Schizosaccharomyces pombe: one gene and its partner. The protein of the gene in region 1 interacts with the protein of each later gene in a biochemical or structural test. Each region holds a gene or a part of one and is shown in the gene's direction. Other genes may lie near its edges.

The links.
Region 2: of the proteins of cka1 (region 1) and tel2, one has a biochemical effect on the other in vitro, tested with the Schizosaccharomyces pombe proteins (one study listed by BioGRID).

What each region holds. Positions count from the first base shown.
Region 1 is NC_003424.3:2,149,886-2,154,811, forward strand, and holds cka1 (serine/threonine protein kinase Cka1), read left to right. Parts: upstream 1-2,151; 5' UTR 2,152-2,268; coding exon 2,269-2,314; exon of another isoform or gene 2,315-2,374; coding exon 2,375-2,655; exon of another isoform or gene 2,656-2,658; intron 2,659-2,813; coding exon 2,814-3,126; intron 3,127-3,187; coding exon 3,188-3,489; intron 3,490-3,582; coding exon 3,583-3,639; 3' UTR 3,640-4,338; downstream 4,339-4,926. Other genes in the region: alanine--tRNA (Ala) ligase Ala1, read left to right, coding at 1-196; 3'-5'-RNA exonuclease Mpn1, read left to right, coding at 739-859, 899-997, 1,045-1,243, 1,295-1,457, 1,501-1,716; hcn1 (anaphase-promoting complex TPR lobe accessory factor subunit Hcn1/Apc12), read left to right, coding at 4,910-4,926. UniProt on the Schizosaccharomyces pombe protein: Catalytic subunit of a constitutively active serine/threonine-protein kinase complex that phosphorylates a large number of substrates containing acidic residues C-terminal to the phosphorylated serine or threonine.
Region 2 is NC_003424.3:4,732,806-4,738,390, forward strand, and holds tel2 (TTT co-chaperone complex LRR repeat subunit Tel2), read left to right. Parts: upstream 1-2,015; 5' UTR 2,016-2,056; coding exon 2,057-4,663; 3' UTR 4,664-4,793; downstream 4,794-5,585. Other genes in the region: SPOM_SPAC458.02C (mRNP complex protein), read right to left, coding at 1-523, 621-794, 915-1,010; dli1 (meiotic dynein intermediate light chain Dli1/Dil1), read right to left, coding at 4,800-5,342, 5,384-5,478, 5,525-5,585. UniProt on the Schizosaccharomyces pombe protein: Component of the TORC1 and TORC2 complexes required for the regulation of the cellular respons to changes in available nutrients. Required for normal entry into S phase. Regulates activation of the DNA replication checkpoint.

The sequences.
Region 1 (4,926 bases):
TCATGCATGTCTTGTTTCACCTGAGGCCATGAAGAAGTTAACTCCACAGGAGTGGTCTCAAAAAGTTTGTCACAGTATTGGCGGTCGCAGTGGAGGAAAAGGTGATACTTGCCAAGGTGTAGGTGATAAACCTCTTTCCATCGACGTTGCAGTGGAGGAAGCGATTGAGTTTTTTCAAGGGAAGTTGACGATTTAAGTTTCTACGTTATTTTGTACTCTATCTTTCATTATCTTCTACATAGGCTCAACTTTTTGTTTGTTTTATAGTCCGAGCATTTTAAAATTGCTCAACAATTTCAATCATTATACATAAACTCATCGTAGGCTTAAACGTCGAGTGTTTACTCAATGAACACTTCTTAATTTTAAGCGATAGTTTGAAAATTACAATTTCCCAGCCGCGTGTTATTGTATTATTAAGATTATGTGTAAAGCCTGAAGATCACGATTTCCTATTATTTACTGCTAGTCTGTCACGCTAATACAGCATACTTATATGTACAAGTCTGAACAAACCTACCACTGACTTCAAGAGTGAAAGGATAGGTTTATTGCAGTTCATATGAAATCGGGATTCTAAGCAAAAGCTTATGTCTATTCGAATACATACTAATAACCAAACTATTACAAAAATTTTTGCATGAATATCTATTACTATTACAGGCCATTTCTACACCATTCCTTGAGAAAAGAAAGTAGCCATCTTTATTATATTAATAAAAAAAAATAGAAGAATAAATGTCTTTAGTATGTTATGAGAGTTCGAGCTCCGGAGAAGACGATGACGAGACAATATCTGATAATCCCCGAATGTTAAAAGTCCCTAAGCTCCAAGAATCATTTCACGAACTTTATAAGAGTAAGAAGGTTTTAATGTTTTGATAACTCATATTCTTAGAAAAGCCAAAAACTTTTGATAGTCCTGAGTTTCATGAGGGTCGAATTCGTGGACAAAAGCATATTGAAGGATTGTGGTTTGTTCAAACATATTTGGAGGGTAATAAATCAATTTTTATTTAACAAAAAGTTGACAATTATCAATAGTGGATTTGAGCAAGAAAGTTAAAAAAGGCATTCGTGAGTTTTTGAATTCACAAAGTCGGTTTCAATCGCTTCTTTGCTCTGAGCATAATGTACCAAGAAGATTACATTTAAGCATATCTGAAAACTACCGCATAAATTATTCCACTAAGAACCAATTAGTGCACAAATGGGAACAATATACAAACAATTTGAATTACAGGTATACTCAGGACAAATAATCCATACTGTTGAGACTGACATATTAAAAAAGAACTTTAAAATTTCGACTGGGAAAGATGTGTCTACTATTTAATGACGAAAAAACAAGAATGTTCCTAGCTTTCGAATGTAAATTCAGTGACGAAAACTACAAAGACTTAATAAGTCATGCTAGTGACTGTATGAAAGAGTTTACAAATAGGAATTTGAGAGAGGTAAGTAAAGGTTCAAATAAGCGACAATTTTAACGCCTTCCAGGACTTTTTACTTCACATATCCTTTGCTTCATCGTTGACAAATGAAGACGAATATCAAAATTGGGTCAGTCAAGACAGAGAGTCCCATTTTTTTAAAACGATGAATGAAATTATTAATACAAAGATTCAAAAAGATCAATTTTCTGAAAGTTTTATCGTTGATAGCTTAAAGTTGTCAATTGGACATCTAATATTTACCTTTCCATTTTGTAAATAATTTATTAATTGGGGCGATAATAATATTATTACAATACTCGTTTACGAAAGAATATGCTCAGCTTCAAATCAATTGGTCTTAGGAACACAAAAAGTGATCATTAGCAATTGCATTCAGTTTTGTTACAAAGCATGCGGACTAAAACGTATGAAGGAAGAATAATTTCAAAAAAATTCCTTATTAGAAGCTTTAGTATACTCATTTTCGTCTTCTGTGATCGGATTTTGATTGCAACGTTTATCAGTTTTTTGTTACATTTCTTCTCACTAGAAAACAATATCATAACTATATTTTCACTTGTTTGGTTTATAAACTTAAGCCATATAGCGCATTAACTTGTTTATATTGCTATATTGCTTGTAACGGAGCTTAAAACACTTTGTTAATTTTCACTAAGCACTCTCTTTGCACTTGCATACACAAGACCTGCCCTTCACCAGCTAGCTTGCTAAACAAATTTTTTGGGTTCCGTTTCATATAAAGGATTTTGCATTAACATAGAGGGAGCACTCTAAGAAAAAAAAACGTGAAAGCTGAAAGGTGCTACTTACAATGAACCAGACTGAAGCGGCTCCAGTCGTCTCAGTTTCCCGGGTTTGTACGTATTGTGAAGTTCAAATTTATAAAAAAAGGATAACAAATGACTAATTAGATTTAGATGCTCATGTTAATGAGGAGATGCCCCGTGAATACTGGGACTACGAGAACATGCAGGAGGTATTTGGATATCAGGACAATTATGAAATTATTCGGAAAGTAGGAAGAGGAAAATATAGTGAAGTTTTCGAAGGATTAAATGTCTTGAACAACAGCAAATGCATCATCAAAGTCCTAAAGCCTGTAAAGTACAAGAAAATCAAGCGTGAAATAAAGATTCTACAGAACTTGGCCGGAGGTCCTAACATTATCTCACTGCTTGACATTGTCCGCGATCCAGAGGTAAGAATAAAAAAAAAAAGCTTTTTGTATTGAATCGTCTTGAAACTTGAAGGAGAAGAAATTTTGTGCTTTTCCGTCTATTGAGTTTATACGACTCTGGCTTTTGAACGTTTGATATCCATCAAACTATTGTATTTGTCGATACTAATATTTTATAGAGTAAAACACCATCTTTAATTTTTGAATTTGTTGACAATATTGATTTCCGTACATTGTACCCTACTCTTTCTGATTATGATATTCGTTATTACTCTTACGAGTTGCTAAAAGCTTTGGATTTCTGTCATTCTCGTGGTATAATGCATCGTGACGTTAAGCCTCATAATGTTATGATCGATCACAAAAAAAGGAAGTTACGGCTAATTGATTGGGGTCTGGCCGAGTTTTATCATGCTGGCATGGAATACAATGTTCGTGTAGCCAGTAGATACTTTAAGGGTCCAGAACTGTTAGTAGATTTTCGAGAATATGGTAAGTTGCATCCACTTTTGTTAAATATATTTACGTTTCTTTTTTCCTAACCAAACTTTAGATTACTCCTTGGATATTTGGTCGTTTGGTGTCATGTTTGCTGCTTTGATATTTAAAAAAGATACTTTTTTCCGTGGGCGGGACAATTATGATCAGCTAGTTAAAATTGCCAAAGTTCTGGGAACTGATGAACTTTTCGCTTACGTACAAAAATACCAGATTGTGCTGGACCGACAATACGATAATATTCTTGGTCAGTATCCCAAGCGGGACTGGTATTCTTTTGTCAACCGTGACAACAGATCGCTTGCCAATGATGAAGCAATCGATCTGTTAAATCGTTTATTACGTTATGATCATCAAGTAAGTTACCGAACCTGAAGGTTTTTACAGGATCTTATACAATCACTTATTTTTTTAAGTGGTATATACTGTATAGTTACTAACTTAGCATAGGAGCGTTTAACTTGTCAAGAAGCTATGGCCCATCCGTACTTTCAAGTACTCAAATAAGAACTGAGGGAAGGGACTATAACTCAATTATCTCTACGGACAGCCTTTTCATTACTAGTTCCCTTCATTTTCATAAAAATGAACCAAATCCAATTCTAGTTTTAATTCTGGTTCATGTTTTATTATTCTTTTCTTATTATTAGACTTGAGTATTCCTCTTCATTTACGTCGGTGATAATTTAAGCTAATATTTCTTGCCCAAACGTTATCATCTCCCACACGATTCCTCGAAACGGTTCTTGCATAAGTACATCCTACTATAATATTGCTTTCACGTGGCGGAGCCTTCCCACTACTTTTTCCCCGTACCTACTCGTTAGACACTTGGTCTACATAGTGTCTGTGTCTATTGCTTTCCCTTACTCAAATTAGAGTTTTTTTTATTTTTAAATGCTATCGGGCTTACTAAACAGGTTCCAATTCTATAGTTTTCTTTAATACTTTAAACGAGTTTTTACCTCTTTAGGTACCTAACAGCTTTATTAATAGTAAGTAACTCTGCGTATTATGCATAATGAATGCAATCTAAAGAAGCGATGGAAATGAATATGCGATATTTCATGAATGAAAAGTAAAGCCTTAATTAGAGAGCAACCTTACAAAACCTCTTATTCTGTAGCGTTAATCTTGCGCAGCTGCTCATCCTGAACTTGTTGAAGTTCAATGCTCAAAACAATTGCCTTTTGTAAATTCATTTTACTGTATTTAACACATATTAGAATTCATCATATTAAAAAAAATGATAATGTCATAAACTAGGGATGAACTTACAGGAATTCGCATTTATTCAACACTGATTCCAAATGAAACAGTATTTGCTTTTGAACCTCAGTCAGCATGCCAAAATTTGCACCAAAATCTAATTCAAAAGAATGTGTTGTGATCTTTGAATTCGGAAAAAACAACTTTACTTATCTTACTTGGTAAAGTATATTGTTTAACCAGGCAAATTTGTTAAAAAAGGAGTAGTTTACCTCTCGCTTTATGCGTATTTATGGTAAAACAAGTATAAAACACTATAACGCGGTAGCTCAATCTCTCGCTTTTAGAAAATACTTTACGCTACGATCCAAATAAATGGGTTAACTTGTGTATCGTCTACCAAAACAACACCTAAAACAGCGTGTTTTATCATTGCATTGCAACTAAGGTGAGTTTCTTTCTTCCTCTCTTGCTTTTTCATCCTTGAATGTAAATAAAATTCAATCAAGCTGAATATAAATTTAATAACAGACCACATTTGTGTACTACGTTTGTTAGTATCTCCAACATGTTACGAAGAAATCC
Region 2 (5,585 bases), 2.6 Mb from region 1:
TCTCCTTCTCACGATTTTCACGCTCAAGACGAAACTGTTCTTGTCTTTTGGCACGTTGTTCACGTTCATAAGTACGGAATGCGCGCAATTGGGTATCGTACTCACGTTGTAAAGCTCTTCGTTGATTATATAGATCATCGAGTGCAGTCTTCTCATCATCTCTTTCTGCTATGAGCTTACGCTGATCTTTATAGTAACCGTCTTGTTGCTTACGAACCTCATCAAGCTCAGAACGGATTTCTACGAACTTGTCACTCAACTTCTTTGATTCTGAATCATTAAGTTGATCACGAAGCTCGTTAAGTTCATTTCTAATCGTATCAATACTAGTTTGAAGAGCGTTCAACTCAACGAAGCTCTTTCTAGTACGATTGCACTGAGAAATTTCACGCAGGTATTTCTTCTCATCAACAATCTTTAAAGTTCCTGAGTCAACGGCGGCTTGAAGTTGTTTAACATGTTTATCAAGCTCCACTTCTGACTTGAAAGGAACAGTTTTTTTCATGGCAGTCAACTCCTTAACCTAAAAGTATGTCAGTAAACATTTTGTTTCTTTACCAAGCTCATAAAGTTTTCCAACACAAAACTTTAGTGCTTACATATATTAATGCAAAACATACCTTCTTTTTCAAAAGTTCATCTTGAGCCTTGACTTTGTTGATGAGAGTTTGCTTAGAAGAACGGATAGCTGCTTGAGCATTGCGAATATTGTCTAATTCAGCGCGAAGTTCTGCATTCTTCTCCTGCAATGAACCACCACCGCGAATGGCACCAAGCTTCTCCTTATGCTCATTCTAGTTGATTAGTTAAGATGCGAAAACTATATAAGAAACAAGTGATTTTTTGAAGCTTTCATAGTTATGAAAAAAAAAAAAAGCTTAGCCTTCAATATTCAAGAATTTAAAACTACTTACGAAACGCTTTTTCGCCTCGTTGATCTTAGCATCAAGCTCCTCCAAAGCCTCCTTGTGAAGAGCTTCATTAGGACGAACGGGTTTATGAGATGACATTTTTATTAAGGATTTTGTTGTTGGTGGTGGATAGTGGTGTGTGTTGAGTTGTCGTTTAACGAGTATATAACAAGGCAGATAAACTCCGTTTGTTTTGCTTCCCTAGAGTTTTCGTTCGCAGTGCTGTGAAGGAGACTACCTGTTTCTGAAATTTTTATAAATAGCTTTTTGTTGACGGTTATTCAGACATCGTGTGAAGAGCAGTCTAAGGAAAAGATTACGATAATACATGTTATGATATTTTTTTTTTATTTATTTAAATAAACTGGTAGTTTTTTGCACTCGTCCACGTATTATGTTTAATATTTCAATTTAAAAATCCTGAATTGTAAATTTAGTGACCTTTATTTGCAATGTGTTGACTTGAACGAAACAAGAAAAATTAATGCATTTTTTCTCACGGATTAGCTTACCGATTAGCGGAGCATTAACATTTAATTTGGGAGGTACACAAAAACAGTTTTAAACTAAAAGTTACTTGCTTTTTAAAAGCAAATAGAAATATTGCAACTAGTCTTATAAAGCAACAGGATACTTCACTTATAGAAAGCGAATTTGAAAGCATAACTATCCATTCTTTTGTTACAACTATTGCATATAAGCACAAAATGTCTTTAAGTTAAATTATACATAATATCCTTTTTCTGTCACGTAAATTGTAAGTTCCTATTCAATTTCAGGCTGTGAAAAGTCCGTGAAAATAATACATCGAAGAGCTTTACAGGTTTCACAGAATATCCCGATGCTACCCATGTAATTGTTGCATACACCATTCTCAGGAAGTTTAAGAGCACAATTTAAAAAACTATATGAATTGAGTTCAAATTACCTTTATAGAATGAAAAACAATTAATAGAATTTAAAGTAATTTACATGGACAACAAATTAAAAATAACTATATACTTTGTAAAGAGTTTTGGTGTTGTTTTAGCCAAGCAGCCTATAATCCTGCATATTGCTGATTGCTGACCGGTGAATTAATCCACCGAAGGTTACTGTCTTCTCAACACCCCAAAATAATTCGGTTATTTTTCAACTCCAAGGATATGAAATCCTTTGCTAGCGAACTATCCAAACCTATTCAAAAGCCGCGTTTAAAAGAAATCCTTAAAGAACTGCAGCATATAGGTGTTCCTTCTCCTTGCAATCTAAGATTATATCATGAGTTAATTAGTGTGATAGTGCCCACATTCTGGAATGGGAAAATTAATTCAGAAATAGATTTTCTCCTTGCAAAATGTTTTTCTACTCTTTTGGGCTTAAAACTGCTATGTGTTCGACTAGATAATTTTGTTCAAGAGGCTAATTTGCAAAACATTCATCTTGTTACAGTTTATCTTGAGCTACTGGAAAAAGCATTTGAATGTATAGACCTTGACGATAACTGTAAATTGATATGGGAATCTACTGTATTATCTGATCATCAAAAGCAATCTTTGTGGACTGAATTTATTTTTTTCTTGGGAAACTTTAAAATTACTAATTCAATGTCTGCTGCAATGCTTACCTTCAAGGTTTACGATGATTCAAAACGTTTGAAGGCTTCATCAATGGCCGACTACATTGGCGTTTTATCTTCAAAATTGGCTTGCATTATATCTAAACCTGCTGTTAAAACCCCAGAAATATATTCAAAGCTATTCCATTATTTATTACACTCATCCAATTTAAAGGCATTCATTAACCCATTGATTCCATTAACACAAAAATTTTGTGTTCAGCTACAAAAATTATTTGCAGATTTGACGGTCTCTGATCAAATGTTGTTTCTCAATCAACTTCTTCTTGAACATAATACCAAATATCCCACCAATTTTTCATATTCCACCGCAAGAGATGATCGTATAACAGGTTCATTGGCTACATTATTAAGGCTGAACTTTTCATCCACTCACTTCCTTCGATTAATTGAATTTTATTGGGGCGTCCCTACAAATTTAATAATTAAAAGGGTAGAAGTAGTTTGTTCGAGTATATCTTATAAGGAATCTGATAAAAAGGAGCTAGAAAAAACAGTGGACTCTCTGTTTAATATATGGTCAAATGCGCAATTTTTGAGGAGCTATACGCTGCTAGCTCAAGAGAGCTTAACAATATATTTATTACTATTTATTCCGAAACTTGAAGCAAAATATTTGAATAATCTTTCCAAATCCCTAATGTTCTCCAATGCAATATCTTGCCGTTTAGATAGTCTAGATGATGATATTCGAATGCATGGAATGATAATGGCCGAAGTAATCTCTACATATTCGGGTGTCAGCTTAAGTAACCCGTTAGCCTTTGACGTTCCAATAATGAAGACTACGAAAGCAAAAGTTCTCAAATCGTTGAGCTCACTCAAGGATGAATTTTTGCCTATTGAAATTTTGAATGACGAAAGTGTTATCGCAGAGACTTCGATAGAAAAGGAAGAGACGAATGTAACTCACTTGGAGAAGCCAGTGATTTCTAAAAACGATGACTTAATAAGGGGAGATGACTTGGAGCCTTACGATTTTCCTGATATTGACAGTGAGGACACGGACGACGATCCAACTGTCTCTAGATCCAAGACGCATTCTCCTGTGTACGTACAAGATTTGTGCAAAATGTTAAAAGACACAGAAAGTTTTGAGAAACAACGTGTTGCACTGGAAAACGCTTCTAAGTTAATAAAACGAAAGTCTGCTTTTGGAACCGAATTACGAGATCATGCAGATGAATTGTTACAAACGTTAATTTCCTTACAAAATCGATTTGACTTAATGAACTTTGATGAAATGCAAATGACTGCTATAGTGGAACTTCTGTTAACCTGTTTAGATATATGTGGTCCTGTTATTTGTACAAATTTATTTGTTAGTGACTATTCAATGCGCCAAAAAATACTTATCTTATCTTGTATTTCTTTAGCTGCTAGCAAATTCAACGATGATGATAATGAACGTCTTTTTCCCAGCCAGTTACTTCCAGGAAATTTACACGATCAGTTTTATTCACCCACTATTGAAAAGATTAGTGATGAATTAGAAAGGAAATTAGTTTTTCCGGTAATGAGTGAATGCAAGGATTATGCGGAGGGACCGAAATTCTTACAGACACGGTATATTTCAAAGCAGTCGGAAATCGAGTCGAAAAAGCCACTCCCAAAGGCCAATCGATTATCGCTTAAGGTAGATAAATCATTGTTCCTGCTCCTCACCAGTGGTTATATGCTGGCATCTAGGAAAACGGCTTTTATTGAGCCTTTGTTTTTAGTCTACTATCTTAAGACATTGGGTATTCTCTTTTTTGAAACTTTTACCTCAAAGATAGAAGGGGCAAACAGAATGCTCCGGGAATATGTTGACGTTTTAAATGAGGTCTGCCGACTTCGATCAGACACTCCAGAAGTTAATGAAGGGCTTTTGTTTAGTTTTTTGGCTATCTTAGAAATATCTTCTGGGCGTACTTTAGCTAATGAGTTTGGGAAGCATTTGCTCTTCTTTGAGGCGTATACTAAGTTTCTTTTTGAAAGCCCTGATCAAGGTGAGAAAGTTAAGTCACTCTCAGCAGCTGTTTTAATTCTATTTGAAAATAAACTTTCAGAATTCAGAACGCTCGCATTGGAAAAATTACTGGATGACTCAGCTCCTTTGGTTCCAGAGCGATTTGGATTAGCCGGACTTTAATAGTTCTTTATGGTCATGATTTAAAAGAAAAAAAATATTATTTATGAGGTTGAAATTTTGACAGAAACTCATTAATGCATTTTAATTAAATAATATGATTTTGTAATAATAATGAATGTCTTTAGGCCAATTACAATTATTGAATTAAGTCCTTCCACAAACTTGATTTTATGGAGGATTTATTTAATTTGTTTGAAGAATACGTTTTAATCTCGCTATACTTGTTCTGTAGTTCTTGCAAAAAAACTTGGTGCGATTTGTAGGGTATATCTCCATCCGATATTTTTGAGGAATGACAGTTCAACATCGATATACTCTTATCAAATAAACCAAGTAATAAACTTATGTCAAGAGTATCGTAAAAATTTTTAGCGGTTTGTTTAAAAAGGGCGATATTAAATTCATGATTGACACTCTGTATTTTAGAGATAGTGTCCCAACAAGGAGGTATAAACATAGTTTCTGATTGAATTGTTTGAGCATGAAAATCTCGAGGTTTAAACTTTTGAAACATAAAATTATACTTCATTAAAACGTTGAGATTATTCCAGCTTGTTGGGTCCGCTGAGATAGAAACAATTGAGGACGTTGGTACGGATAAAAGTGTCGTTCGCAAAAACTGTAAAATAAATTCCTGTGAATTATCGACTGAGGTATGCAAGCCTAAAGCATGCTTCAACTACAAATTAGTAAATGTGCAAGTATTCAAGGGTATCTTACCTGTTTCAGAACAACCGTAAAGTTTAGTAGAATACCACTACTTATATCCAATGTTGTCGAGTTCTTATCCAGTAAAGCTACCAGTTTTTTGTTCTCTAAAGCAGATCAGTTAACAGGATAATTGAGTTCAATCAATCTTACGAGACTCTTCAAATCGATTCCTCACAGTTTCCTCGGTATTTATAAGAATTGTTTTCATATT